Linked DNA regions of Canis lupus familiaris. The protein of the gene in region 1 purifies or fractionates together with the protein of each later gene. This does not show direct contact. Links are inferred from orthologs where the notes say so. Each region holds a gene or a part of one and is shown in the gene's direction. Other genes may lie near its edges. The genes, in order: FUS, DDX39B, SAFB, DDX17, SMARCA4, DDX5 and ZNF326.

Region 1 (4,071 bases):
GTGGAAGTTAAGAATATTAGCCTTAGGGTGGGAGGGGAAGGGCATCTTTGACCTTTAATTTAAAAGATTTCCAAGCAGCTTCCAAGAGGCTGACTTTTCAAGTGTGGGTAACAGTAGTAGTACATAAAGTTTTCTTTAACTTGTTTCCTGCCTTTTTTCTCAGAGTCTTTATGATTTCTTTTGCTTGTAGCAGGCTATGGCACTCAGTCAACTCCCCAGGGATATGGCTCAACTGGTGGCTATGGCAGTAGCCAGGGTTCTCAGTCATCTTATGGGCAACAGTCCTCTTATCCTGGCTATGGCCAGCAGCCAGCTCCTAGCAGCACCTCGGGAAGGTAAGGAGTTTGAGGGGGAGGTTTGGAATATGGTTAGAGGTGAATTGATAAGGAATGATGTGATCAACAGGAGCAATTAGGTGGGGGGAGAGGGAGGAGTCTTTGTAATGGAGTGGGGTAGGGAATGGAATGCGCCAAAGATGAAGTCTTGGACGTGCTGGCATTCTGATTCTGTTTGTTTCTCTTTCCTTAGTTATGGTAGTGGTTCTCAGAGCAGCGGCTACGGGCAGCCCCAGAGTGGGGGCTATGGCCAACAGTCTGGCTATAGTGGACAGCAGCAAGGCTATGGACAGCAGCAAAGCTCCTATAATCCCCCTCAAGGCTATGGACAGCAGAACCAGTACAACAGTAGCAGTGGAGGTGGTGGCGGAGGGGGTGGTGGAGGTGAGGGGTCTTGAGCTTTGCATCATTCCTACTTTTTGTAGAGATTTATATATACTGCTTGGCCCCTTAACTCTAAAAAATTCTTAAAATTTTTTTTTCTTGTTTCTTAGCTGTCTTTATTTTCATCATTCTTAATCTTTTGGTACTGTTTAATGCCACGTGTGTTTTTTCTTTAAAGAATCCTTTGTTTTCTGACAGGTAACTATGGCCAAGATCAGTCCTCCATGAGTGGTGGCGGCGGCGGTTATGGCAATCAGGACCAGAGTGGTGGTGGCGGTGGCTACGGGGGAGGCCAGCAAGACCGTGGGGGCCGCGGCCGGGGCGGTGGCGGTGGTTACAACCGCAGCAGTGGTGGCTATGAACCCAGAGGTCGTGGAGGTGGCCGTGGAGGCAGAGGCGGCATGGGGTAGGTGTTCTTGTGAGCTAGGGCGTAACATCAGTGGGGAGTGTGAAGGGTTGCATGAATCTCCCTTGAAGCTCAGTTCCTTAGTGCATGGTTAGTTTTTTTTCTAGGGGTTTGTGAGGGCTTAGAGTTGGGGGTATTGATGGTTTCTTTGTACATTCCCATTTTTTTATGAGAATTGGGGAGCCTGAACTCCCACCCACACCTCTGAATAGAGATTTGAGTACTGACACTTGTATTTCCAAAGAAGAAGGGAAAATATACATGGGTGTATGTGGATTGGAGTCATTGATATCCTAGGCAAAAAACATGGAAGTAAAGTCTTCTTTCGCTGCAAGGGAAACCGATGATCCCACTCCTGGTAATAGGGAAACTTGTTTACATGTATTCCCATGTGTCCTCTAAAGGAGTTGCTAATGCTTAACCTCATGACTTCAGCTTCCAGGAATTGGCTACTCTTCCCGTATATTGTAGTCATTTGAATCCATGAGCTTGATTTGCAGTAATTTGACTGGCAGTAATGATTTTGTGTGTGACTTGGTTTATGGGGCTGTCTGAAGTGTGCAGGCCTTTTGGACAAAATATGCTTGACAGTGGTGTCCCATCTCTTTGCTCCACTGTCCCCCTCCCCTGGTTACTTGTCCAGCTGGACCTTCTCTTTCTTCCCCTTCCCGCTGTAGTTGATTGAAGTAAAACCTTAGATTTGATGTTAAAGCATTGGTCAAATCTGTTGGTAAACATGATTTGAAGGACCCTCCTCTGTCTCCCTTTGAAAGGGGAGGAATGTCAGTGTGTTACTCCTTTTTGGGAAAAAGTAGGTTTTTTAAATGAGAGTTTGTATATGGTAAGTATTCAGAGGTGGGTGGGGGCAGTCTCAAAAACCATACGAAAATAAGGAAAACTCTGTTGTGTGCGTGTGTTTAATGCAAAACTTTAAAAGAAAAACAACTGTTATGTGACTGTTAACTTGCTCTGCATTTTATGTGCCACAGGTATGAAAGGTGACATTGCAAAATACTCCGCTCTTCTCGCAGTGTAGAAGGGGTGACCCCGGGGGTGGGGGGAGATCAAAAACAGCTCAGTAGTTAGGATAGGGCTTAGCTAAGTTTGTCTTGCTTTAAGGGGAAATTGCCTTTGGTTTTGACTTTTTATGGAATGGGGTTGGGTCTGCTTGCTGCTTTCAAAGCAAAAACCACAAAAATGTGTTCAGGGCTACCCCAGCCTGGTGTGAAATGTCTTCTGGGTGAATTGGGGGTAGGGTTTTTAAACCAACTACTGGGTTGTCCACCACTCACGACAAGAGGAAAAAACATCTGCTACATCGGAAGAACGACCAAGGAAAATGGGTCATTTTTTTTTCCAGAGGAAATAGATCTATAACCTTTTAAAAAGCAAAATCCTTAAAAACTGTGTGAGAAATTGCACACGTGTGTGTGACATGCTCAAAGGTCAGACAAGGGGTGGTCAGGAAGGGAAATGTATTTTAGTAGCCACTTGTATCTTTTTCCCAAAACACCTACCCATGTTTGGGGAATGTTAAACAAAATCAAAAAAACGCCCTTTTGTAGCCGTTGGAAGCTTCATGTCCTTTCTTCTAACTTGTCTTCTCCAGCGGAAGTGACCGTGGTGGCTTCAATAAATTTGGTGGTAAGTGAACAGAGTTTCCAAAATTCCCAACTCCCAGCAATGCTTTGTCTGATTGTTCATTTGCAGATGTTTTAGCGTGTTTTAAGTGTCAAAAGGTTTTGAAGTGTCCAGAACCACCTCCAGAAAGGGGTGGGGGAGAATGCCACCTGCTGCCAGTTGTGTGCTAACCTGGAGGCAGGGGAGTAAGACTCGGCAGTCGTCTGGTGCCAAATTGGTTTGACCCAGGTTACTAAGAGGTGTTTAGTAGGCCTCTGACAGGAGTGTTGCCACACCTGGCACTTAGTGACCACCATTTTGAGAAACTGGAGAGTGTGCTGGAACACGTGGTGCCAACTTGGCTTTAGGATCCTTTTGATCATTGTGTCCAAGGCTAGTGTGTGTGTATTTAACAACCTCCAAATGTTTTAATTCTGGAAGGGGGATGTGAACTATTGCCCTGCCCTAGGGATGGTGAAGTTGGTATATATGTATCTATATATTAAATACTGAATGGTGTCAATGCAATCCTACATATACATACTTAACTCAGATGGGCAAATAGAGACTAGCTCTGGGAAGGAAGGTGTGGACAACTACAAAGAAAGGTTGGGAGCATGTGTGGCTCATGGGAAATAACCAGGTCTTAACAGCACAAACTGAATTCATGGAAAAATGGCAAATTTGAGAAGTCTCCCAGTAAGCTGGAACTTTTCTGGTTTGGTTAACTAACAAAAGGTTTCTTGATTTGTCTCAACATTTAAAGCCAAAGGCTTGGGTTCATGATTTAGGTGTCATTGAGTGTGGGTACAATATTTATATATGGTGAATTCAGATAAACTTTGGTCAAAGATGGTCTCTGGAAAAAAAATAGAGGCTGCATTATGGAAATAAGATTTCTGGTCTGTTCCCTGGGACATGCTTTAAAAATACAATAGTTATTATGTATGTTTTTTTATTTTCATGTGGTTGGGGAAACAACATGGTTTTAAGAATGGTTTGTAAAGATGAAATTAAAACTTGTTCCACAAGGGATAAATAAGTGTCTTTGGTGTTAAAAGTTTGGAGAAACTGGATGGATGCATATCACATTGCTGGTGGTGAGCCCCTTTCTCTCTGGGGTGAGAGAATAGGGCCAAGCTATGAGTTGGTTTTGTTAACTGCAATGGGTCTCCCTGCTGGCCCCCCAATCTGTGCTGAGGACATTTCCCAGCCTGAGCTGGGGGAGGCAGAATTTCCTGGACTGTGGAGTTGTCCCTGTGGGGACTCAAGTTACATACAGATCTTAAGGGGCCTGTGTCTTCCCCAGCCCTGTCTAGGAGTTTC
Region 2 (4,655 bases), on another chromosome or scaffold:
CCCCGTGGGAACTCTCAGCCCCGCCAGCCTGTTGCCGAGCGGGGCGCCCACGGAGGGGTGACCAGAGAGAAGACCTGCCGGCAAGAACCCGAGGGAAGAGGTGAGGGACGCGGAGTGGACGAGGACAGAGAAAAGAGGTAACAGTGGGAGACGATGCTAGTTTCCTTCAAGGCTTTTGTTACTTGCAGTAGCGAAGGAGTTAGAAGTGCCTTTAAAAAAAAAAAAATCCACACAGGCGTTTTCTAAAGGCAACCCCGGAGCGCGCGGAACTCTCGAATCTGAAAGGGTCTTCTTCCGGTCTCCTGCGCCTGCGTGCTGGCAGGCGGGAAGGCGAGGCGCCTGGGAGAGAGAAGGCGAAAACCGGAAGTGAAGGCAGAGTCCCTCTTTCGTCGCTGCTGCCGCCGCCATATGCGCTCGCCTTGCTCAGGTAAGCTTTGGCCTTCGGTATCATCCGCCTCCATCTGCGTTTCTTTGCGGCCATCCTGTTCCCTGGACTCCTGATACCCCTTCCACAGACTATAGTCTGGTCCTTGGGGCCTAGTTGGGTCATTATTTCTATTGCTTGCATCCCTTTTCAGAGCTCTTAAGAGTTTCTGGAGGGGGGGGTAGCGATGCTAGGGGGCCCAATCCAAGATGGTGGCCCCAGCGCCATTGTGTTCCCTTCGCTCACTGCTTCTTCGCTTGGGCTTCTCGTTTATCCGAGGCCCTAGCTATGGTGAGAGGCGGCGTAGATGTCCTCTAGTCCAGGGCATTTGCGGAGGGCGGGGCTCCTTTCACTTTTCCTCTCTTCTGTGGGTCCTCTTAATGGCCCAAGGTGGGAACTGGAGGAGGAGCCGACTACTGAGCCTGGTTGGACCCTTCTGTGAGCTCACCAACCATCACTTGGAACATTTTCCACTTGTTCATGCGTGGTGTCATGTCGGTTATCGGAGAGGAGTCTGATCTGAGGAGTAACAGAAGACCCTTTGCTATAGTTCCTGGTAGAGCTGGAGCGAATGCTGTCTCTCTCTCGTTCTATGGAGAAGAGACGAGTACTTTCCCGTCCCAGCCACGTCTTCTGTATCCCCTCCCCCACGTTACACGGGGACCCCTTAGACACCGGGAGGTTCCTGAGGAGTGGGAGGTGGATGGCAGCCACATGATGTTATTTCGAGGAGTGAGCGCTTTGCGCTAGGATGACCTTAATCTATCACCAGTAACTGATGGCTGCTTTGTTAGGGAGATTACTAGGAAAGCAGAGAGGTCCTGTGAGGATTTTCAGCACTTACCTTGTCATCTCCATTCTTCACTCCGTTGTCCTACTTTGCTTTTCGTTACCCGTTTTTCTTCATTACTGTTGCTTACAGATGAGGAATTCATGGGCTGGTTGTCCCCTTCCTACTTCCTGCTTAATGCTATTCTGATCCTAATTTTGTTGAAAAGTTGTGTCTCAACCACCTCACTTGGGACCACTGTGTTATGTTTGCTGTTGCTTTTATGTTTTGTGTTCCTGTTAGTTTTATCCCCAGGTAAAGGGGTCACAGTTTAGGGAAAGTGGGAAGAGTGTGGGGATGGAAAAGAGGGGCGAAGGCTCTGCTCCTGACTAATAAGTCCTCCATCTATTTTTTTCCTAGCTCTTCTATCACAAACTAGGGTATTTTTTTTTTTTAACTGTTGCTCCAGCCCCCACTCTCCTCCTCTGTTTTTACTTATTCTGCGTGAACCCATCCAGAGACCCATCTCCTTCTCCCCCTGCCGGCCCAGTTATGGCAGAAAATGATGTGGACAATGAACTCTTGGACTATGAAGAAGATGAAGTAGAGACAGCAGCTGGGGGAGACGGGTCTGAGGCCCCTGCCAAGAAGGATGTCAAGGGTTCCTACGTCTCCATCCACAGCTCTGGCTTTCGTGACTTCCTGCTGAAGCCAGAGTTGCTCCGGGCCATTGTTGACTGTGGCTTTGAACATCCATCAGAAGGTAAATTTTCTGCAGGTCATAGTGTTCACTAGGCTCTCTAAGGATACAAGAAAAAGGTGTGTTAAACAGTCACTTAATGTAATAACGTTCTTATTTAGGCTACTTTAGGAAATAAAGGTCAAAAACTATTTCAGCAGTAGGAAAGATTTATATAGATTGGTTTTTTTGTTCACGATAACATGAAAAGGCTAGTGACCTAAAAGCAACTTAGAGGTTTGTGCTTGTGACCAGCATTTATTCTTGTCTACTTGTTATTAATTTTGTTGTTTAGGTTTCTAAATTTGAATTTCCTGAGAGGACTGGTTGGACCTTTAGTCTCTCCCTGTTGGGCCAGGCCACCTCTGGTCTCTGGAAATCTTCATAGCTGGTCTAAAATGGGTGGCTTCTGGATCAGCTACCAACCCCTTCAGAGTTGCAAGGTTTTGTAGCCTTAAAGCAAGGGAAGCTAAGTAGGAGAAATGGCTTGGGGCAGGCAGTCACATGTCCTGGATTGTTACAGATCAAGGAAAGTCGGGACAGAGTCAGAAGCACCAAAGGTGAACTGTTGGTAGGTGCAAGAGGGTTGTTTGCAGTTTGTGGGGTGGGGGGAGGGCACTGGAGTTGGAGGAGGCTAAAGCTAGAAGGAACTAGGAAGGTCTATCTGGTTTTGAGATAAATCTGAGGGAGCAGAGAGGTAGAAGGGGTCTGGAAATTGATAACCATTTAAGAAGGGGTGGGAAATGGGTTTGACATGGTGAAAAAAGGTTGTGGAGTTATCTGGAGACTGAAGTCTAATTTATCTTTTTTCTCCCCCTGCTTCTAGTCCAGCATGAGTGCATCCCTCAGGCCATTCTGGGAATGGATGTCCTATGCCAGGCCAAGTCAGGGATGGGAAAGACAGCAGTGTTTGTGCTGGCCACACTACAACAGTTGGAGCCAGTTACTGGACAGGTACACTTGGGGAGAGTGCTATGGAAGACATTTTTGGTTAGGAATATTGGAGAAGGGTGTTTTGTCTCAGCTGTGTGATGCTTTTAGAGCCATGAGTGTTTGTGGCTAAGATGAACTCTGTCACCTTTGACTGATGGCCCTGGGGGATATTACATAGTAATCATGGGGTTAATGGTTTAGATCTCAGAATTGAAGTAATTTATGATCTGTCAGATGTGCTTTTGTGACAGTTGGTTCCCCAGAGGGGATAGTAAGTATATACTGTTTATCTCCATGTACTCCCCCCTCCACCCAAGGTGTCTGTGCTGGTGATGTGTCACACCCGGGAGTTGGCATTTCAGATCAGCAAGGAGTATGAGCGCTTCTCTAAATACATGCCCAATGTCAAGGTAAGCCAAGATAAACCTGGGAGAGTGTGGGGAGTTGGAGACATTGAAGACTTGTAGACCAGCAGTCTTCATTTTCTCAGATGATTAATTAACTTTATATGAAGGTCATTTACTTGTAATAGCTGGTCAGTTTCTGCAAACTTTGGTGTGCAGGAGATTTACATTCTATGGTTTACTTGAATACACATTGCAATTTCTGATATGTTCACTATATTCCAATTTTGGAGAAGCTTTAGTTTGTTCTTAACACATCATGTTAATATAGCTAGCAGCGGAAGACTGCATGGAATGGGTTCTGGAGGATGTTTACCACAGTACTACACTTGGGTTTACTACTTTTTTATACTGACTTTGAATGATTTCATTGTGCTTTGGTTGACAGTTTGAGAATTCTAGGATGTGTGCAAGAGAAAGCTGGAAGCTTCAAAATATCTCTTTAAGTGTGTGGTGTGTGAATTTTGAGGATTCTTTAAAATGGCAGAAAATTGAAAGATATTTAGGGGCCACAACAGACGAGGTTTGGGCGGTTTTCCATATATGATCTTGATTTTCATAGTATGGTTCCCAGACCTCTAGTTAGAGCATCATTTGGAAGCCTGATGGAAATGCTGATTATATGGGTACCATCCCAGACCTAACTGAGTATAAACATGCATTTTATTTTGTTTTGTTTTATTTTATTTTATTTTATTTTATTTTATTTTATTTTATTTTATTTTATTTTATTTATTTATTTATTTATTTATTTAATTTATTTTTTAAACATGCATTTTATTTTTTTTTTTTTTTTTTTTTTTTTATTTTTTTTTAAACATGCATTTTAATACAATCTTCAGGTAATTGGAGTTTGAGAAGCGCTGATGTGTATAACCTCCTACCTTCCTGACTAGGATGTGGTGAAAAACAGTACTTTTGTTTGGATTGTTGTGATATTCTCCTGTTACTCATGTGTTGAGTCCTAGCCCTAAACTAAAAATAGTAATTCTTAAAAAAGATTTTATTTAAGCGAGCAAACACACACGAACGGGATGGGGTCGGGTGGGGAGGGAGGTCTAGGGAGAGGGAGAAGCAGACTCCCCCTCTAAGCAGGGAGTCCCACATGGGGCTATATCCCAGGACCCCTAAGATTGGGACCTGAGCTGACACTTAGCGGACTATGCCACCCGGGCACCCCTAAATTGGAAGTAGTCTTAAGAACCAAAGTAGTAATAAATAACAATGTGGGGGTAAACATGCAGTAAATATGCTGAAGTAATAGAAGGTTCATGATGAAAAGATTTGTGTTCTCTTACCTCTAATCGAACTTCATAGAAGGTAATCATTTGTTAACCTTTTTTTTTTCGTTATGGTTCTGTGACACCAAGTATTAGGTACTATTCT
Region 3 (4,587 bases), on another chromosome or scaffold:
CCAGCAGACAAAGTCAAACGCGCTCCCTCGCAAAGAGCAACTCTGGGTCTGGTATCTGGGAGGCAAGCCCAACAGGCACGGGTTCACGGGATGAACCCGGGACGACCTGGTTCTCTCTGGGCCCTAGGCGCAGAAGACAAAGGGATGTGAGTGGGGGCTCCAAGGTGCGGGTCAATGACCAGGTCCAAGCTGGCCCTTAAGCTAGAAACTGCCCCACCTTCCGCTTTAGTAAGGTGAACAGGAAGGGGCAAGGCACTGGGTCTACCACCTACGGAGGAGGGCTGAGTGGTGTTCCACCAGCTCGGTCTGACACTTGGGGAGAAAACCCACTAGACAAATGGGGTAGGGGGTGTGTGCCTGGCGGAGGTGGGGAGGGAGGGAGGCGGCTCTTCCCCAGGACTGCCGCCAGCCTGGGCACTCCGGGGTCAACTCCAGCTCTGCAAGGAGCTCGTCTGGGTCGGGCAAGACCATCCCTCCACACTCAACCTGGGGCTGAGGGCGGCCAAGCGGGGCATCAACGCAGGACGGTGCAGGGTGGGAGGCGAGGGAAGGCGCACCCTTCAGGAAGGACCCTGGGGAGACCCGCTAGGACCTCAGGGCGCCGAGCAGGAGAAGAGCAGCGGAGCGGAGGGCACGACCGGAGCAGAGCTCCTGCAGGGGGAACAAGCACGACTCCCTCTCCGGGAAGATCCCAAAGCCTCGTCACTCCTCTGTTCTCCAAACTGAGGCGCGGGGAGCAGAAGGCACCTACCCAAGGTCACGGACCCGGGTCCCCCCCGCGCTGGGGCCCGGAAGGAGCCGAGGGGCCGCCCGGTGGCCCGAAGGACGCGCTGCCAGCACTGCCGAGGCGACCAGCTGGGAGCGGGAGCACAGGCGAGGCACAGAGAGGGGCGGTGACGGGCCAAGGTCACACAGCCCGGCCGGCCCGGCCCCCGGGGCCCCGCGGGCTCAGTCCCGGGCGGGAACGGTGGAGGAGAGGCGCCCGCGTCCGGGCGCCGCGGTGACAGGCCCGCGCGGGGGCGTGCCCCGGCCCCCCGCTGCGCCCCGGGACGTCGGGCCGCCTCACCTTCTTGAGCCGCTCCATCAAGACGCTCTTGTTGCCGCCCGTGTCCAGGTTCCGCTTCTTCAGCTCCGCCCGCAGGTCGATCACCCGCAGGTCGCTCAGCCGCCGCGTCCCGGCCTCAGAGGCGCCCGATCCCACAGCGGCTGTGCCAGAACCCGACTCGCCGGACCCTGCCAGAGTCTCCGCCATCCCAGGTTCCGCGTCCCCCGCCACCCACTTCCCACACCGCCGGCGGCTGTAGCGGCTCTGAGCACAAAATGGCGCCGCCTAAGAGGAAAACGCACTCGCTTCCTCCCGCCCCGCTTTCCGGCCGCGCATGCGTGCCGCACACGCCAGCTTTCTTAACAGCACGCGCCCTCGCGCGTCGACCAACCGCACGTTCCCCGCCGCAATGCGCAAGCGCCGTAACTGCAGCACGCATGCGTGACGGCCGTGCGCGGCGGGAGGCTGTCGACATGCAACGCGCCTGCGCACAGCCCTTTGAGCGCTCACCACGCATGTGCACACGCGACCGGCAGCGTCGGCTCCGCGCCGGGTGCGCCTGCGCAGAAGAGAGGCGCGCCAGGGCGGCTGGAGCGGTTCCCTCGCAGGCGGCGCCATTTTGTGCTGGGTGCCGAGATAAAACCGGCCCGGTTCTGTGTGAAGTGGGCGGCGGAGCCAGGGTCCCTGGAATGGCGGAGACTCTCTCAGGCCTAGGCGATTCGGGTGCGGCGGGCGCAGCGGCTCTGAGCTCTGCCTCGTCGGAGACCGGGACGCGGCGTCTCAGCGACCTGCGGGTGATCGATCTGCGGGCGGAGCTGAAGAAACGGAACCTGGACTCGAGCGGCAACAAGAGCGTTTTGATGGAGCGGCTCAAGAAGGTGGAGCGGGGGCCCTGCGGGGGCGGCCGCGGCCGGGACGGGGGGGGGCTCCGGGCTGCTCCCCCGGCTCCTGCCAGGCCCCGGCGGGATCTCCCCGCGCGGCGGGGCTCCGGGGGAGGGAGGAGAGTCCGGGCGCGAACCGGCGCGGGCGGCGGGGCCTGGCGGGCGGGGGCGCCCGCGGAGGGCCTGGCTCTCGGCCGCCCCCGAAAATGACGGGGAGCCCCCGCGCCCCGGCTTCCCGGGCGAGGTGGGGGCGCCTCGGCCAAGGTCACACGGCCGTGCGGACGGGGCGGCGGGACTGGGACCCGGGCCGGCCGCGGGGCTCCCTCCGGGCCCGGCAGGGTCGACGCGCCGGGCCCATGCTCGGAGGTGGTTTTTTGTTTTTTTGTTTTTTATAAATGTGAATGCTGCAGCCGTGGGTCGGGGAAGTGGCGCGGAAAGTGAAGTGCTGTCTGCGATGGCGAGCGGGGACGGAACAGACGCCGGCGGGCGGAGCGGTCCGTCCCGTCCCCGTCCCCGCGCCTGGGCTCCGGCCCCTGCGGCTCTCCGCGGCCTGGCCCCGGGCTCCCAGCGCTCCCAGGGCGCCTAGCGCCCTTCCGGCCCGTGTATTCTGCAGGGAAAAGGGGAGAGCGCGCTTCCGTGCTATAGGATTAGGCGAGATTGCATGAAACGGGCCTGGCGTGCCGCCTGGCACAGGACGGAGAGGATCCCTGTCCCCATTGGCCGCCCTCCTCTGTGCCACCGTTTATCTGCAAAACCGGGGCCCTCATCCCTATCCTGGGGGGGGGGGGGTGAAAAGCACGAGCAGTTCAATGTTCGGGTCGCTCTGCTTCCCCCCCCCCTTTTTTTTTTTCATATCCTTGTTGGCTTCTTTGCTTTTTCTGTCGTTCAGACCCCCCCCCCTTTTTTTTTTCTCTTCTTGAGCCTTCTCCCGTGCAATCTCAGGCTCACCACCCCCAACCCCTGCAGGCAGTGTGATTTGCGACTCCTTCCACCCTCCTGGCTCCCGATCTGAGGACCCAGGCAGGGTATTAATTATTACTGGTGACTGTTAAGGGGAAGTAGGGATTGTTTCCATTTTCCTGAAGGAGAAAGCTGGGGCTCAGAACGGTGGGTTGGTTAAGTTCAGAGTCAGTTGGGCTTTTCTGGCTTGAGCTTGTGTTTGTTTCACCGTGGATACCAACTTCCTTTACTACTCGGGTTGCGGCAGGTAATTCATCAACTAAGGTGTTCTAGAAAGGATGCCACCAGGGCCCCCGGTCAGCAAAGCCAAATTGGGACCCTTATCTCTTTCGGATGGCATTGAGAACCTTCCCGTCAGATTGGTAGTGGAAACGGGCCTGTGACTTCAAGGATCCTCCCTATCATTTCTGAGGCATTTTACATTTCTTTTTTCTGTTTATTTTCTCAGAGGTATGGTCGTAGTATGTAAATATCATTGGTCTGTACGTTTATCTGCTCTCTTATTGAGTGCATCTGGAATTGTTGGTCATTTTTTCTTTTTCTACTTCTGGCATATAGTTAGGGTCCTTTTTCTGGTCATTTTTCCAGGAAGGGCAAATGAGGAAAAGGCTGAAGGAACACAAAGAGTGTAGTTTCCCAAGCTTTATAAAGATGACTCATAGCCCACAGCGTCCCTAGGGATGATCCTGTAAACACTGCACCCAGAGAAGACCTATTGAGGGGCAAAATGGTACAGCTCTTGTCTGGGGCAGTTCTCTCTTCTCCTAGGGGTATTCCATAGTCCTCTTTTGCCAGCAAGAATGGGAGGGACTTTCTGGTTGTGCTTTCCTTGATTCCAGAGCAGAACTCCCAATTCCTTTTCCTCATGCTGGCTTTGGAGAAAAGGGAGAAATTTTCTCTGTTCCTGGTACAGATTAGATGTGGAGCCCATAAGCCCCATTGCAAATTGAGACTTCCACACTAAGAAACTGCTGAGGATCTGAAATTTTTTAAACTATCTACAAATTAAACATGCTGTTTGAAGTGTATTTTTAAGATTTTATTTTATTTATTCATGACAGACACAGAGAGAGAGAGAGGCAGAGACACAGGCAGAGGGAGAAGCAGGCTCCATGCAGGGAGCCCAACGTGGGACTCGATCCCGGGTCACCAGGATTACACCCCGGGCCGAAGGCGGCGCTAAACCGCTGGGCCACCAGGGCTGCCCTGAAGTGGGTTTAAACAGAACTTGTGTTTATAGAATAGTACAGTAACAAGAAAAAGGGTTATCAGTAAAGCCTAAAAGCAAAGCCCAGTATTCAAGGATATCACTGATGTCATGCTCAGTAAACATTTGCTGCTCACCTCCTTGGTGCTACGCCCTGTGCTGAGCGTGGGTGCAGACTGTTCAAGGGAATGATGAGCTCTTGGGTGGGAGGTGGGGCTTGCCCAAGAGGTGGTTATAACTCCCTATCCTTTCAGGTAGGTCCCCTAGTGGTTAAGAACAAGACCTTTGGAGTCAGTCATAGATGTGGGTGATCTGATGAAGTGGTATGGGTCATGTCCAGTCTCATGGCACACACAGTACATCTCAGCCAAGTGAGTAAGCGTTCTGTCCAGACAGTGCCAAGAGTAGGCATGGGGATAGAGAGGATGTCACAGAGGGTCGAAGCAGCATATTGCTGGGTGAAATCATAGGAAATGGAAGACTGTGCTTTTTGA
Region 4 (4,779 bases), on another chromosome or scaffold:
TTTCCTCGACAAAACAGAGGGAGGGTTTCAGTGGACCTAACTTAATTTATAAATTATTTATAAAGAGAGCCTCAGATTTAATTAGCCTATCTGCTAAATAGGCAAAACAGTCTGAATTATTCCTTAAGTGCCTGTACAGTCTAAATCACAGGAGCTTGTTTTGTCACTCCTACAAGGTTTATCTTTGAGACTTACCTTCATATCCCACCCATTAGCAAATCATTAGCTACATTTTCAATTAGACCATGTCTCCTTTACCCCTTGCTATTAGTCTGCACCGAACCCCATCATCTCTTGCCTAAACTAGTGCACTAGCTTCCTAATTAGTCTACCTGCTTTTGCCCCAACTCACTCTCAATTTATTCTCTATTCTGTAGTCATAGGGGCCCTTTTATTATGTCACTCTAAAAACTTTATAGAGATTTCCATTTTACAGAAAGGAAAAAACAAAGTCCTTACAGCAGCCTACAAATCCTTCAAATCTCTCCCGTCTTTCCTCATTACAGCCCGCCACGGCCTTTGCATGTGTTCCTTCCTCTGCCAGCAAAGCTAACTCCCTCCCTTTAGGTCGCTGCTCAGATGTCACTGAATTAGAGAGGCCTTCCCCCAGGTCACCCCATGTAACACCGTGACATCCATACACTCCCCTCCCCCACAGACACAGAAACACTATCCCCTTTCCTCGCTTTTTCTATTTTAATCAGCAATCTTTATTTTTTAGTTAGCAATCTTTAAATAACATAAAGATTCATTGTTTTATTCCCCCCCATTGTGGTATAAAGCCCATGAGGGCAGGAACTCACGTGTCCAGTGCCCTCTGCCCCAGTGCCTAGCACAGTGCTGGGCTGATGCAGTGTTCAGCACAGGTCCAGTGGTTCCAATTGTCCATCTGCGCTACGGCCCCAAGGACCTCTGAACGGCTTGTCACCAAGCTCCTTTCCTTGAGCTCCTTTTGTCATAATTTGGGAAACATTTACAACCAAGAGACAACAGCCCCCACAATGAAGGACCTCGAATCCCGCGCCCCCGCCCCCCTCCCCCATCTGTAGAAATAAACAAAAGAGACATCAGATGAGCAGCTCGCGAGGGCCTTAGCAGCTCAACAATTCTGTGACGCTGTCTGGCCAGGTTTGTGAGACCGTCAAGCTCAGTCTGAGTGAGGAGGCAGGAAGTTGGAAACCAGCGTGGAAGGAACTGAGAGGAACATGCTCCGGCCTGGTTAAAAACACGTGCTCAGGCCTTCACCTTCTCTGTGTCGAAAGGCCACGGCTTTTAACCGTCCTCGCCCGGGGAGGGCGCTGAGGGCCTGCCAGGACCTCCCGAGGCAGCGCCGACGAACGGAGACCATGGGACCCGGGAGTCTTCCTCAACAGGGGCTCCACCTGCGTGTTGGTTCTTTGTTAGCCAACTGCGCTCAGCCCCCGACCGTGAATATTCTGCTCAGAAAACGCACTTCGGTGTGAACCAAGCGTAGCAGGGAGTGCTTTAACCTGACTGGGACCTCGTCCGCCGACCACCTCCCGAGAGAACCGACAAGGAGCATCCATCATGGCTGCCGGCAACAGCGCAGCGAGAGGCAACCGAAAGAAAATGGCGCCGGGGCGCGCGGCCGGTGACGGCAGGCCCAGGCCGGCGGAGCGACCCAGGGACGCCATCCAGGAACCCTGAAGACCCGCCTGGACCCAAGGCGCCGGGAAACCCTGACACTTCACGACTGCAATATGGAGGACGGTTATTGTGTCTGCAAACCAACTTGCACAAGGAGGCCCGTGTTCCGTCCCGCGTTCGGAACCCGGCAAAATCTTCTATTCTCCAAACAGAATGCGTTACGCACACTGCGCATCTTCGCAATAGTGGGCCGGGTAACGACGCAAAGAATGTTACGTCGCACCGGAGGCTCTTCCCCTCACCCCACCCCACGTTCTAGTTCAGGTGGCGCGAGCACTCTACGCCCGCTTCGTACTTTATTTTTCTTCTACGGACTGCAACATGTGCCGGTCTGCGCAACTGACGTAAATGGCTTCCAAGAATGCCCTTAGTACTCCGCCAAGCCCTCGGGCTATTCCAAGACGCTGTTTACGTATCGTCTCCGACGTACGTAGCGTTAAGCTGGAGCAGTCTCAGCGCCGGCCGCCATTTTGTGCAGTCGCTGGGAAGGAAGGAGACGCCTAAACCGCGGCACTGCCGGGTTTGAGCGTAGCCAAACCTACCCACAGTTTTTATAACCCCGATTCTCTGTGTTTTGCTCCCGTCTCCGACGAGAGAGGCGGCGACGGTGGCGTCTGCGACGGGAGACAGCGCGTCGGAGCGAGAGAGCGCCGCGCCTGCCGCCGCCCCAACAGCGGAGGCGCCGCCGCCATCGGTCGTCACCAGACCGGAGCCGCAGGCCCTCCCGAGCCCGGCCATCCGTGCCCCGCTCCCAGATCTCTATCCGTTTGGGACCATGCGCGGAGGCGGCTTTGGGGACCGGGACCGGGATCGTGACCGTGGAGGGTAAGGGGGGAGGGGGAGAGGGAAGGCCTCGCGTGTGCGTGGGCCGGGGGGAGGGGGAAGGTTGTTTCCTGAGGAGACCGCAGCCTGCCGCCGAGCGGGAGACCTGGAGCGGACTGCAGGCCTGGGAGCGACGCCCCCGACTCCGGGAGGCGAGGCGACCTGGGACATAATAGCGGTTTGGTGTGCGGGCCTGCGGGTGGGCCTGCGCCCCGGGATCACGGGAGACCCGGCGTGGGGGGGCGGCCTGGCGACGCCCCAGCCCCTCCTTTCGGACCGCAGTCGTGGCGGGGAGCCGGAGCGGCGGCCCGAGCGCCGCAGACCCAGCCTGGCCTCGCCTCGCCGCCCGGCTGCCGGGCCCGGCCGATTTGGGCAAGTCATTTGATCTCTCCAGGCCTCAGCGCTCATCTGTAAAACACGGATGTTCTTGCTGAGAAGAGGAGGAGGTCTCCGAGTTCGGCCTGGGAAAATCTTGACGCCAAATGGCTTCCCTTATCTTATCTGTCGCCAGAGATAACTGCTAAAGGAACTGGAAATCGAGTTGGAAACTAGACGCCAAATGGCTGATTTCTAGTTTTAAATGTATCTTAAAATCCCCTTTAGTGGTATTTCAGATAATTCGAAGGAAGCACTTTGGACAGTAAAGCAGTGGAATTGTTTGCCATCTAAATGATCTTATTTGAGGAGGGGAGGGAGGGTTTTTTGTGGGTTTTTTTGTTTGTTTTTTTTTTGGTTACTGTAGGGTTCCCTCCCACCCTGTGTTCTGTTCTTCTCCAGTTGGACTGGAGTATTAGTTGCTCGGCCTGGTTAGAAAGTTTCGATGCGATAATGCCACGGCTGAAAGTTAACAAGATTAAAGTTCTTCCCAGATACTGAGATTCAGATCTTAACATAAGTTAAAGGGAAAAGTTGCCTAAGAGATGCGAATGTTCGTGCTGTTAACTTTTTGTAATAAAGGTCTTATCTCTGGATAAATAATAATGGAACGCCAGTTATTAATATATATACATATGTGACCTTGGGCAAGATCCTGGACCTTTTTGTGAGCCTATTTTCTCAACTGAAGATGGGCATAATAATTGCCTTTACTTTGCATTGTTTTCGGGAATTGAGATCTATGTAAAATTGTGTCTTTGTGATAGGTGTTCTGTTGATATTTTCTCCAAACATTTTTGTCTTTTGCGGTTCAAATACAGAAGTCCCAGACCTCTAGTCATAAGCACCTCAATTCACTTGAATTGCCGAATAAAAAGGATTATTTTGTTTATACCTTGTTAGAAAAGAAAATATTTGATCTTAGTGTTAAATTTGGAGGGCTAGAAGTGGAATGTTTGCTTAGAGTTTCACAGTATAGCTCAATTTAGAAGTGAATTTCAGTGCAACCACTTGAGACAAAGAATTTTTGACATTACCTAGTAGAAAATGACCCAATAATTCCTTTCTTAAGCTTTGTACCCTAGACACAAGCCTAGAGAAATCATTGTACGTGTTCCCCAGCATTCATGTACAAAAAATGTTCATACCAGCACTGTTCATGAAAATATTGGGAACCACTCTTCTGTCTAGATAAAGGGTGGGTATTCATTACAGTAGAATGTAACACAACCGTGGAAGAAAAAAAAAAAAAACTTGCATCAAAATGGATGACCAGCAAACATTGAAAAAGCAAGTTGTGGTAAAAGGATACGTATATGACCGGACTCCAAAAAGCAAAAATCAAGATGGTAGTTGTAGTGGGTTTGTAAACTTGAAATAGGCACAGAGGGCTACCAAGGTACTGATCATGTTCTGTTTCTTTACCATACCATAGGTGTTTGGTTTAATACTTAATTTCACCATATACATGTTTTAACAAATTATTTGAAAAGAAGAAAAAGTAAATTACTGATCCATATTTCTACCCCATATTGACTATCAGATGACATTTTTTTTAAAGCTTTAAACTTTTCACACAAAATGGCACTTTTTCATGATGTTTGTGTCCTAATTCTACATTTACCATGAAATTGCATTTATGATTTTGAGTTACTATATTCTTAACAATTACAGAGCCGAAATAGATTATTTTGAAGAGAATAAAAGTGAGGTTAGTGTATATGTGTACATGTAAAATCCAAAAGTGATGTGCCTTGTACATTTAAACTAGCATGATATTGCACATTAATATAAATCTTCAGAGTTGTGTTTATTGCAAAGCAAAATTAAACTTAATGAGTGTAAGTATAGTATGCTAGGGATTAGGTTATGTGCATCTTTGAAGGATGGCAAGAATGCTCAAAAATTCTACAA
Region 5 (4,071 bases), on another chromosome or scaffold:
AGGGAACACAGTGGAGCCACTAGAATTCACCTTTTGAAGACAAGTACATGATAAAAATGGTCCTGGGTATAATTCTATGAAGAAAAAAAGCTTGCCTAGAATGTGCTGAGTAATACTGTTTGAGTGTGTGTGTGTGTGTGCGTGTGTGTGCGCACGCACTCGCGCCTGTGTGTGGAATAGTCTAGAAAGGAGACAGTGAAGTGTGGTGGGGTCCCAGCAGTAACAGGAGGGCAGCTCTCCACCCTGAGAGGGCCCACCCTGCACTGCTCAGCTCTATTTTTTTTTCTTTTAAGATTTTATTTATCTATTTGACATAGAAAGTACAAGCAGGAGGAGCAGCAAAGGGAGAGGGAGAAGTAGGCTCCCCACTAAGCAGGGATCCCAGCGCTCTGGGATCGTGACCTGAGCTGAAGGCAGATACTTAACCCACTGAGGCAACCCCCAACCCTTTCTTCCTACTCTGCACCTTTCCCTGCCCTGCTAGCTGGGGTTAGGAGAGCAGGATTGCTTATTGCTCTTTGCAGGGCAGCAAGCATTTCACCTCTGTGTCTCGTGGGATGCTGGGTGATTTTAAGTTTCTGTGTTCTTTTTGCATTTTCTGCATTTCAGCCCTGCAAATGTATTTATTATGCCACCGTCATGAAAGAAGTTATTAGATTGAAGAGAATTTATTTCAGGCTATATATAACTACACAGTAGGTTGAGAGTTACCTGAACATTGAAGCCTTATTATAGAAAGCATGTATAAAATTTACCAGCTCATGGCCCGGTGGTAGCAAGCAAAATTTACCATCATCATTAGATTTTTTTTTTTTTTAAGTATATTTTTGGATCTTGTAGATGCTCTGGGTATCAATTTTTAGTTTTTGGCAACATTCATTTAACTTTAGACACGTGAATATCGCTGTAGAACTGTTTGAGATATCAGAATGCCATTGTTTGTATAATACTTTAAATGAATCTATGTTTTAAACTTTCATTTATTTTATTTTATTTTTATTTATTTATTTATTTTTTTATTTATGATAGGCACACAGTGAGAGAGAGAGGCAGAGACACAGGCAGAGGGAGAAGCAGGCTCCATGCACCGGGAGCCCGATGTGGGATTCGATCCCGGGTCTCCAGGATCGCGCCCTGGGCCAAAGGCAGGCGCCAAACCGCTGCGCCACCCAGGGATCCCCAACTTTCATTTATTTTAAAAGAAACTTGGTCTCACTGCCTTAAGTAAAAAACCAGCATCACTTGCCGTGAATATTTGTTTTTGTTGAATTTATGAAGGCCCACTTGGACACGGTTGCCGGCAGAGGCTTTGAGTGTTAGTCTTGCTCTTCCTTGTAAATAGGAAGATGGCAAGTACTAGGTGTGAAGGATGTATCTGTACTACCCTGAGATGTTCATTCTTTTTGTTGTGATCAGAATAATAGCAAGGGAAGTGAGACCCCAAGTGGGGCAGTGGCCGTGGACTTCCACCTCCTGAGTCCCATCCCTTCCTCGGGGACCTTTGATATGATTTTGTATGCCTGATGTATTCTCTTCTGTGAGAAGAATGGCGATGGAAGGTCTGGGTGGGGGTGGGGGTGGGGGTTGCACGTCAAAGGTGCCAGCTCTGTCAGATGGGTGCTTCTCACAATACTGTACATGTGGTCCTCCCTTGCCAGCTCTGGTGCCCTAGTGATGGCCGTGATCCCCAAACTGACCAGGACTTCTTTCTAACAGGAGACCACTGTCTGCAGCTCCTGTGAAGATGTCCACTCCAGACCCACCCCTGGGCGGAACTCCTCGGCCAGGCCCTTCCCCGGGCCCGGGACCCTCCCCTGGAGCCATGTTGGGCCCTAGTCCAGGTCCCTCACCTGGCTCTGCCCACAGCATGATGGGGCCCAGTCCGGGACCTCCCTCAGCAGGACACCCCATCCCGACCCAGGGGCCTGGAGGGTACCCTCAGGACAACATGCACCAGATGCACAAGGTAGGGAGCCTGGGCCCACCACCCTGATGGTCTGGGTCAACGTGATCAGAGATGGGAGGGTAAACAGTACATCCTGGCTTCTGCTGTGAGCCAGCAGCCTCCCTACTTTGTGTCTCCCATGCCCTTCATTCCAAATGGGAGATGTGGTAACACTGCTCCAAAGTTGCCTCTTGTTAATAAATAAACATGTCCAAATCCCTAAAAGTTCCTTATGTCACATGGTTTCCTGCATTGGGCTGCTCTGCTCACCCATGTAACTTACAGAGCAGGCCATGGGTGCTCTATATCCGCACTCAATCCTGCACTTGGGTGCCACTCACTGTTTGAATGACTTCTTGAACTGATCAGGGGTGCTTTTGCCAGTGAGGTGAGAGAAAAACCTCAACACAAATAGTTTTCCTTTCTCACTATGTTCTTAGGTGGTAGTTGGGGAAATCAAAGAAATGTCTTAGGTGTATCAGCATCTAAAGGAAAAGGTAACATGTTCAAGCCTCAGAGACCACAAGACACCCTTTGTGTGAAAATAGAAAATGCACATTGTGCGGCCCAGAGGTGAGGGGTCTCTGCTGACCCCTCCAGCCTCCCTTCTGGGGCTGTCCATGTGTTTGTACCCTATTCCACTTAAATCTCCCCCTGTCCATCAGAGGTAGGTGATGAGGAAGTAGGGTCCCTAGGGTCCCGGAGAGATGGTCACTTACCATCTGATGGTCAGTGGTGAGTCATCTCATCCCTCTGGCCCTTTTTGCCTCTCCATCTCCTGCACATTTCTGTCCATAGTATCTTTCTTGTCACTTCCTTCTTGGGAAGCTGTTGGTGACTTGACCCCCCCCCCCCCCATTTAGTCTGGCTTCTCCAGCACAGCTTCCTTCCCTCTCTGTCCACCTCGTTTCTTCCTCTTGGGGTCATTTGCACATACTCCACAGGTCTGCAAGACAGCTGCTATTTGTCCTGCTTGGTGTTAGGACCCAGATGGTAGTGAGACACCCCTCGCCTGCAGAGATTGCAGCTTCCTGAGGGCCCCACCCTTTTCCTGCATATGAAGCTGCTCCTGTGGTCGCCACCAAGCACCCTCTCTTCATCCTCTCTTCCTTCTCTTATGGTACACACTGAGCTGTAGTTGACTTTGCTGGACCACCCTTTAGACTGAGTTCCTGGAGACCAGGATATTTGTGCCAATCAGGGCCTAGCAGAGTGGCCTGGAAGGGTCTTAGAAAATGTCCCCTTAGGAATGAGCCTTAGGAGAGAAAATAGGTGTCATCAATCTACAGAGGTCTGATGTGCCTCTTAGGAGGGACAGAACCACACCACAAACAGCTTTCCTCCCAACTAGTAGGCTGGAGGCCGATCGCAGATCAGTGAGGACACCTAACGTATTGCAATCATACTTCTAGGCAGAAATTTCTGTCTGTCCCTTTGATATATAGTCTCCCAAGGAAGAGGGTTTCTGATCCAAAGATTTGTGGTCACCAGGTCTCTTTGTAACGATTAGTGGAGAGCTTGGTGTCCCAACCAAAACAGCTCCTCATGCAGGAGCTCACATCTTTTCCTCATGGTATTTTGGACATCTGAAACTGTCTCATGGTTCCCTGATCCATCTCTCCCTTCACTTCCAGGCCACTAGTCCCTAGGTGACATTGCTTCATGCATCTGCTTGAGACCAGCAGGTGTCAGGACCATGGCTTGGACCTAAACTGGTTGGTCACATTGGTGATTCAGTACATACCAGGGCGACCTTGGGCGGACATTTTCAGTGGCAGTGAACTCTTCGGTAGCACTTTGCATGCTGCCTCTTCCTGTTCCCTCTTGTTGATCTTGCCTTGTCATTGACCCCTCTTACAGCCAATGGAGTCCATGCATGAGAAGGGCATGTCGGATGACCCCCGCTATAACCAGATGAAGGGAATGGGGATGCGGTCAGGGGCCCATGCAGGGATGGGGCCCCCGCCAAGCCCCATGGACCAGCACTCCCAAGGTACTGTTTCATTATTCTTCTCTCCTTGTGTTTGTTAAGCTCCTCCCCTCAACCCTGGATGTCCTGACATCATTTTCCTAATTGGGTCTCCTGGTCTCCCACAGGTGGATTCAGGGTAGACAGGTGGATTCAG
Region 6 (2,939 bases), on another chromosome or scaffold:
GCTGCTTCCAGTCGATTAGAGAGGTGAAAAGCTGAAAGTGTGCCAGTAATCTTCAAAAGGCAGAACATACCACCTCTGCCCCGTAAACTGTTCTCTCCGGGGGAAAAAAATGGAAGTTATCCTCACAGTTCACTGCCGTGGTATTTCTTCTGTCCCATGCTTTGCATGACTGCCATGGTACAGCATTGTTTCAAACTGTTTACTGTGATCTGTGGGTCTTTGAGTTTCAGTGAGTTTGCTGAAATGTTGAAGAAATATTTCCAAACTTCAATGTTCAATGAAATTTTTGTTCAAGTTTGAAATGGAGAGAGCAGCTTTAAAAGGTACTAAGCCTTTTACAAATTGGTGAGTACTGGCACATGAGATCTAGAGCAGGAGCAACTTCTCACACTTAGTCAGTGGGAAAAGAAAGCAGTGCTTTGAAAGTTCCTCCCTCACCTACACAGTAGTCGTCATGTCGAGACCTGCCAGAGAGAGACACATTCTCAAGTGAATCCTGGCTTCTTGGAAGCGCTTGCCTAGACGAGACACAGTGCATAAAAACAACTTTTGGGGGACAGGTATGTTTTTCTTGCAGCTGCGGTTGTAAGGTCTTGGCAAGACAAGCAGTGTGGCCAGAATTTTGAACTTCTGATGAGTGTGTAATGCAAAGGACCATGTACATTTTTGTTTAAAGGTCCTCAAAATGAGCACATGAAGAGGTTGCTGTGAACCTTTAAGTGGCCCTACTGCGCAGAAGCATTCAGATGTCACTTGATGATCTGTAAGGGGACTTGCTGGTTTGGGAATATGTTAGAGAATACACGTCCTTTTGTTAGGTGCTCTGTCATTGGGTGGGCAATGAGACAGGTAGATGGTGTGTGCTTTTTTTTTTTTTTCCTTCCAACCTCAATGGTATTCCTACAGGGAATGGATAACCATTTTAACTGTATTTTTTGCAGCCCGTACCTTCTTGGGAATACAATTGTCTAACTTTTTATTTTTGGTCTGGCTGTTGTGGTGTGCAAAACTCCGTACATTGCTATTTTGCCACACTGCAACACCTTACAGATGTGGAAGATGTGAAATTTGTCATCAATTATGACTACCCTAACTCCTCAGAGGATTATATTCATCGAATTGGAAGAACTGCTCGCAGTACCAAAACAGGCACAGCATACACTTTCTTTACACCTAATAACATAAAGCAAGTGAGCGACCTTATCTCTGTGCTTCGTGAAGCTAATCAAGCAATTAATCCAAAGTTGCTTCAGTTGGTCGAAGACAGAGGTTCAGGTAAGACTAACCTTCATTAAGAAATGTTGGTGATTTTGGGGTCACATGATTGTCTGCAAATCCATTAAATGGGATTGGCAGGTGAGTAAAATCTTCATATGAAACTGAGAAAACACTTTAAACTTTGAATAGAGCTTCTTTCTAATTTTTTCTGTACTAGTAATGATTTGTGCTGTGGAAATAATCAGCTTGCAATTCTTTTTTTTTTTTTTTTTTTTTTTGACAGGTCGTTCCAGGGGTAGAGGAGGCATGAAGGATGACCGTCGGGACAGATACTCTGCGGGCAAAAGGGGTGGCTTTAATACCTTTAGAGACAGGGAAAATTATGACAGAGGTTACTCTAGTCTGCTTAAGAGAGATTTTGGGGCAAAAACTCAGAATGGTGTTTACAGTGCTGCAAATTACACCAATGGGAGCTTTGGAAGTAATTTTGTGTCTGCTGGTATACAGACCAGTTTTAGGACTGGTAATCCAACAGGGACTTACCAGAATGGTTACGATAGCACTCAGCAATATGGAAGTAATGTTCCCAATATGCACAATGGTATGAACCAACAGGCATATGCATATCCTGCTACTGCAGCTGCGCCTATGATTGGTTATCCAATGCCAACAGGATATTCTCAATAAGACTTTAGAAGTATATGTAAATGTCTGTTTTTCATAATTGCTCTTTATATTGTGTGTTATCAGACAAGATAGTTATTTAAGAAACATGGGAAATGCAGAAATGACTGCAGTGCAGCAGTAATTATGGTGCACTTTTTCGCTATTTAAGTTGGATATTTCTCTACATTCCTGAAACAATTTTTAGGTTTTTTTTGTACTAGAAAATGCAGGCAGTGTTTTCACAAAAGTAAATGTACAGTGATTTGAAATACAATAAATGAAGGCAACGCATGGCCTTCCAATAAAAAATATTTGAAGACTGAATTAAGTGGAAATTGTACTTTATTTTACATCTATAATGTCATGTAAAACTTTGCTTAGATGGTCTGGTTTGATTTTGTTTTTTTTTTTTAACCATAAAAACTAAATTAACTGCTCCTTTCTATGATTTAGGTTTGGGAAGTGGGGAGAACAGAAGGCCCTTCTTAAAAATGATCTATTTATATTGCAAGAATTAAATGAGATTAAGTAAATTTACAATTGTAGGCTAAGTTGTATTAAGGCTTTCTGCCAGTACCTCATCAGGTGAGTCATTTAATAGCCTATTTATTAGCAGAATGGGGAAGTGAGATTAAAATAGGACATAATCAACTGTATAGCCCCACCCTCAAACTGCTTAGTGTGAGAACAACGTGGATGACTTTATTTCTTCGCAAAATTTTATATTTGAAAAGCTCCAAATAACTTGATTTTTCAGAACAGTTTATAGTCTTGCTCTTGGCTCTAATGTGAATTAGCAAAATGGTGAACAAAGCTAAGACTTTAAATTTATACAGATTGTAGTCTTCAGGCTCTTGGGACATTTAACTGTAGTTGACACTGGGAATCATGAATGTCTTTACCATAATTCAGGGAACTCTAGAGGAGTTTAAAAACTGGAGGGTCTATTCATATTCAAACAAAACCCCGTGAAAGTAAATGAATGATGAACCAAGAGGAAGCAACATAACCAAAAGCACAGTGACTTATACAAGTCGTCTTAGGTCAACATGGGT
Region 7 (4,071 bases), about 42 Mb from region 1:
TTTATTCGTCTGCAACAGGCATGCTTATAATCATAAGGTCCCTAAACTAAAAACGACTTAACCTTTCATACTCTGCCCCTTCCCATCTTACCTTTCTCTTATCACTGTACTTTAAAAGGTAGTTTATCTTGCATTGCGCTCTCTAATTTCTCTATATTATCCATTCTTTAACCTGGTAGTTGTCAGTTGGAGATGGGTAATTAGAATTCCTTGTGAAGCTGAAATCAAACAAAAAGCTGCCTAGGCCCCCTTTAAGACCTTCTGAATTAAGAGTTTCCCAAACTTCTGATTAATATCTCGTGAAGTGCTTCCTAAGTATGCAGTTCAGCAGATCTCTCTCCTGGAAATTTTCATTCAGAAAGTCTGAAATTGATTCAGGAACTTGGGTTTTTAGCGAGAACTCTTAATTCTTGACTGAATTAGAGTCTCAGAGTGTGGAACGTGGACTTGTGGTTTTGGGGAGCTTAGAACAATAATGAAGATTTACTCTTGGGCAGTCATTGCTGTCCGATTTCATGTACATCTACTTTTGGATCTGCTCTAAGATAACTGGTGACTTAATTTTCAAATACGTTTTTTTAACATTTTGTTATTTACTATTTTAAACATACAAAAATAAAAGGGATAGTGTAATAAATCCCTCAAGTACCCTCATTCAACCTTAATAATTATCAACTCTAGTGACCTTTTTCAGTTCTTTTCTAGTATTACCTGTTTTATTTGACACTGTTAATCTGTCACTTATTCTTGTAACTTTGTTTTGCTGGATAATATTTTACTATCCTGAATTTCCTCCTGCACTTTTTTTTTCTCTCTAACTTTTGTCCCTGTGTATAGGCATTGAATTTTCAGTGGGTTTTCTCATCAGCGCTTTTATTCTTACTTCCTTGGCCCTTTTATTCTGCTTATTTCCCTGGCTTCAGTATTCACTCTGTGCAAACAATTCACAAATTTAAATGTCTTACTTTGAACTCTCTTGAATTGTGAATTTACAGCTGCCTCTTAGACATTTAGACATCTTAAATTCTAATTATATAAAGCATATATTTGCTTCTTCCACTTTCCCCATCTTAATTTACATATTCTGTTAATATGCTGCTACATCTTTTACACTTTCCTGAATTATTAGAGTAACTCCCTCACTAATATTTCTTCTCTTGCAACTTCAGTTCATCCTATGCTTCCTACCTGATGGATCTTGAAGTAGAGTACCAGTCTTTTTTTTTTTTTAATTATTTTTAAAAACATTTTATTTATTTATTAGAGAGACAGGTAGAGGGAGAGGCAGGCTCCACGCAGGGAGCCTGATGTAGGACTGGATCCCGGGTCTCCAGGATCCCGCCCTGGGCTGAAGGGAGTGCTAAACTGCTGAGCCACCAGGCTGCCCTAGAATACCAGTCTTATACTTTACTGTTTAATAAACTTCATCGCCTCTTCATTTCTTACTGTATTAATATAGCCTTCTGATATGGCCTATGAGACAATCCAGACACATAATTCAAGTATTTATAAAAATTAATAAAGTTGTATCTGTGAATGTTAGTAAATTACAGATTTTTAAAAAAGATTTTATTTATTTATTTGAGAGAGAGACCACAGGAGTAGGGGCAGAGCTGGAGAGGGATAGGCAGACTCCCTGCTGAGCAGGGAGCCCAGTGCAGGGCTCGATCCCAGGACCCTGAGATCATGACCTGAACTGAAGCCAGATGCTTAACCGACTGAGCCACTCAGGTGCCCATAGTGAATTAAATATTTATCTACTTTCCATAAAGAAAAAGTAAGGTGTATCCAATAGGTACCTGATTTTCATTCATTTGAATTTTTAAAAAGACCTGATTTTCATTTGAGTGTTTTATAGAGATCCTGCCACAGTAGGTAGTAGATTGAATCGTGGCATAATTTAGTAGAACATAAATCTTTGCTTTATTTACTTTGTTCCTACTAAAACTCACAAATTTACTTTTGTCATATGATTTTAGAAATTCAGTTAGGAAAATGTGGCCTTTGACTGTTCCAGTTTATGGAATGTATAGTAATGCTTTTAGTAATTTATATACCCATAGTGATATGAAAATAAGTACTGAATAGATATTTAGTGGATTTGTCATAAGTTAAAATAAAAAGTTTCAAACTGTATTTATTTTTAATGTCATAGCAAATAAGTTCACTGATAACAAAGATGAATGTCCTGCTTTTATTTATTTATTTATTTATTATTATTATTTTTTAATGTCCTGATTTTAAAAGCTGTTTTTCCTTATGCTTTTTAGGGTGAGAATCCTTTTGAAATTCAAGATCATTCTCAAGATCAACAAATAGAAGGAGATGAGGAAGAGGAAGAAAAAATTGATGAACCTATTGAAGAAGAGGAGGAGGAGGAGGAAGAAGAGGAGGAAGTGGGGGAAGTAGAGGAAGCAGAAGAAGTGGAGGAAGCAGAGGAAGTGGGAGAAGGAGGAGGAGAAGAAGGAGTGGGAGACACAGAGGAAGCAGGGGACATAGAGGGAGTGGGGGAAGGAGAGGCAGTGGGGGAAGGTGAGGCGGTGGGGGAAGGAGAGGCAGTGGGGGAAGGAGAGGCAGTGGGGGAAGGAGAAGCAAAGGAAGAGCCTGTTAACTTCCCTGTTGACCAACCTGAAGAAAATTAAATATACGGTGTTAGATTTAAAAGAAGCTTTAAATTTCTCTCCTAATATGGAAAAGGGTAAGAATTTTAATAGTTTAAAATATGAGAATTAACACCCATGTTGCATGCATTCCACACATTCAAATTTGTTTTATATAATTTCTAAATGTTTGCCATTTTGTTTAATAAAATGAAGGTAAGACTATTTTAGTTTAGTTTTTATAGCTACCAAACTTAGATTAGATAAATTGTTTGTATAATTTTTAAGCTTAATTTTTATTACTTTATTGGTGTTAAGGATAACAGATGTGTATTGTTAGTATATCTACTTAATCATTTGAACTTAAATGCTGCTGTTGGGAGTATATATTCAAGTGTGCATTAATGTTTTGAATACTTACCCTAGAAGAGATAAATTGGGCAAGTATTTTGTGCTCTGACTGTGTATTTTTTTATGGCATTGGACATTGAATAGTAATTTGCGTTAAGATACGCTTAAAGGCTTTTTGTGACCATGTTTCCCTTTGTAGCAATAAAACGATTTTTACAAAAACCTTCCCTGGATTAGCAATTTTAAATGAAACCATTAATCAATTAAATGAGTAAAATGAGGTTTTGCCTTAATGTAGGAATTTAGCTCACATAAATGAGAAGAGTTGAATTAAAAAAAATTACTTCAATCATTTTTTTAAAGTACTACTAAAATATTTTTTAGCATATTTCAAGTTGAGGTCAGTCTACAACTGACTTGTTTATACTTGTTTTAATTCCTTTTCTTTGTGCCTGTGTCAGATCTTGAAATCTTCTTGAAAATACATTTGGATACAAATGATTTTTATAGTTGTGTTAGTTCTTTTGTCGTGTCTGTTTTTAGCTGAAGAACCAAGAAGCAAACGATCTCTTTTCTAAAAAAGAAATATTTCTCTCTCGAATATTTTTTTTTTTTTTTAAACTTTTTGTAGTTTGTAGGCTTACATACACTGCAAAAGAAGATGAGATTGATAGATGGTCTATTTTCACATGACCATCTCTGTCACTGAAAAGTAGTGCTCTTGTTTCTTTGAATCTTTATTCTGGCTTCTTTTGAGAGGGGGACTTGCAGTGAAATAAGTTAGCTTCTCAAAATTTTGAGGTATTGAGTGGATGAATATATGGGAATATTATGTAATTTTAAAGCATTAAGTGCATGAACATGTAGGCATTTGTAGAATTTCACAGGTAATTTCTCTTTTTGCATACAAAGCATTTAAAACTGCATTTTGGGGGGCTAATATGGGTTCATTGTTGGGAGCTGGATTTGTTTATCTTTACGCTTTAAATCCTTTGTATCCACTTATAGGGATTTATAGCCAAGTAAGAGAAGGTTAGTTGAAGACTGGAGAAATTTGGATCCCAGCTAAGAGTCTGATATTTAAATAGGCTTCAGAAAGCCTTTGTGCTCAGGAGTTAAA

Evidence for each region.
Region 2: the proteins of FUS (region 1) and DDX39B purify together in Homo sapiens (affinity purification with mass spectrometry; 3 studies listed by BioGRID and IntAct, with this or other methods). This does not show direct contact. The link is inferred for Canis lupus familiaris from reciprocal best matches to the Homo sapiens genes FUS and DDX39B.
Region 3: the proteins of FUS (region 1) and SAFB purify together in Homo sapiens (affinity purification with mass spectrometry; 3 studies listed by BioGRID and IntAct, with this or other methods). This does not show direct contact. The link is inferred for Canis lupus familiaris from reciprocal best matches to the Homo sapiens genes FUS and SAFB.
Region 4: the proteins of FUS (region 1) and DDX17 purify together in Homo sapiens (affinity purification with mass spectrometry; 5 studies listed by BioGRID and IntAct, with this or other methods). This does not show direct contact. The link is inferred for Canis lupus familiaris from reciprocal best matches to the Homo sapiens genes FUS and DDX17.
Region 5: the proteins of FUS (region 1) and SMARCA4 purify together in Homo sapiens (affinity purification with mass spectrometry; 3 studies listed by BioGRID, with this or other methods). This does not show direct contact. The link is inferred for Canis lupus familiaris from reciprocal best matches to the Homo sapiens genes FUS and SMARCA4.
Region 6: the proteins of FUS (region 1) and DDX5 purify together in Homo sapiens (affinity purification with mass spectrometry; 5 studies listed by BioGRID and IntAct, with this or other methods). This does not show direct contact. The link is inferred for Canis lupus familiaris from reciprocal best matches to the Homo sapiens genes FUS and DDX5.
Region 7: the proteins of FUS (region 1) and ZNF326 purify together in Homo sapiens (affinity purification with mass spectrometry; 3 studies listed by BioGRID and IntAct, with this or other methods). This does not show direct contact. The link is inferred for Canis lupus familiaris from reciprocal best matches to the Homo sapiens genes FUS and ZNF326.

What each region holds. Positions count from the first base shown.
Region 1 is NC_049227.1:17,226,428-17,230,498, reverse strand, and holds part of FUS (RNA-binding protein FUS), read left to right. Parts: intron 1-190; coding exon 191-335; intron 336-528; coding exon 529-719; intron 720-917; coding exon 918-1,125; intron 1,126-2,734; coding exon 2,735-2,769; intron 2,770-4,071. UniProt on the Homo sapiens protein: DNA/RNA-binding protein that plays a role in various cellular processes such as transcription regulation, RNA splicing, RNA transport, DNA repair and damage response. Binds to ssRNA containing the consensus sequence 5'-AGGUAA-3'.
Region 2 is NC_049233.1:1,178,776-1,183,430, reverse strand, and holds the start of DDX39B (spliceosome RNA helicase DDX39B), read left to right. Parts: upstream 1-1,745; coding exon 1,746-1,956; intron 1,957-2,758; coding exon 2,759-2,886; intron 2,887-3,182; coding exon 3,183-3,275; intron 3,276-4,655. UniProt on the Homo sapiens protein: Involved in nuclear export of spliced and unspliced mRNA. Component of the TREX complex which is thought to couple mRNA transcription, processing and nuclear export, and specifically associates with spliced mRNA and not with unspliced pre-mRNA.
Region 3 is NC_049241.1:54,774,230-54,778,816, reverse strand, and holds the start of SAFB (scaffold attachment factor B1), read left to right. Parts: upstream 1-1,595; 5' UTR 1,596-1,734; coding exon 1,735-1,923; intron 1,924-4,055; exon of another isoform or gene 4,056-4,097; intron 4,098-4,587. Other genes in the region: SAFB2 (scaffold attachment factor B2), read right to left, coding at 1,067-1,252. UniProt on the Homo sapiens protein: Binds to scaffold/matrix attachment region (S/MAR) DNA and forms a molecular assembly point to allow the formation of a 'transcriptosomal' complex (consisting of SR proteins and RNA polymerase II) coupling transcription and RNA processing.
Region 4 is NC_049231.1:27,280,994-27,285,772, forward strand, and holds the start of DDX17 (probable ATP-dependent RNA helicase DDX17), read left to right. Parts: upstream 1-1,721; coding exon 1,722-1,862; intron 1,863-2,200; coding exon 2,201-2,493; intron 2,494-4,779. UniProt on the Homo sapiens protein: As an RNA helicase, unwinds RNA and alters RNA structures through ATP binding and hydrolysis.
Region 5 is NC_049241.1:50,648,104-50,652,174, reverse strand, and holds part of SMARCA4 (transcription activator BRG1), read left to right. Parts: intron 1-1,716; coding exon 1,717-1,966; intron 1,967-3,805; coding exon 3,806-3,938; intron 3,939-4,071. UniProt on the Homo sapiens protein: ATPase involved in transcriptional activation and repression of select genes by chromatin remodeling (alteration of DNA-nucleosome topology).
Region 6 is NC_049230.1:14,622,475-14,625,413, forward strand, and holds the end of DDX5 (probable ATP-dependent RNA helicase DDX5), read left to right. Parts: intron 1-1,050; coding exon 1,051-1,275; intron 1,276-1,501; coding exon 1,502-1,905; 3' UTR 1,906-2,208; downstream 2,209-2,939. UniProt on the Homo sapiens protein: Involved in the alternative regulation of pre-mRNA splicing; its RNA helicase activity is necessary for increasing tau exon 10 inclusion and occurs in a RBM4-dependent manner. Binds to the tau pre-mRNA in the stem-loop region downstream of exon 10.
Region 7 is NC_049227.1:59,115,050-59,119,120, reverse strand, and holds the end of ZNF326 (DBIRD complex subunit ZNF326), read left to right. Parts: intron 1-2,270; coding exon 2,271-2,642; 3' UTR 2,643-3,452; downstream 3,453-4,071. UniProt on the Homo sapiens protein: Core component of the DBIRD complex, a multiprotein complex that acts at the interface between core mRNP particles and RNA polymerase II (RNAPII) and integrates transcript elongation with the regulation of alternative splicing: the DBIRD complex affects local transcript elongation rates and alternative splicing of a large set of exons embedded in (A + T)-rich DNA regions.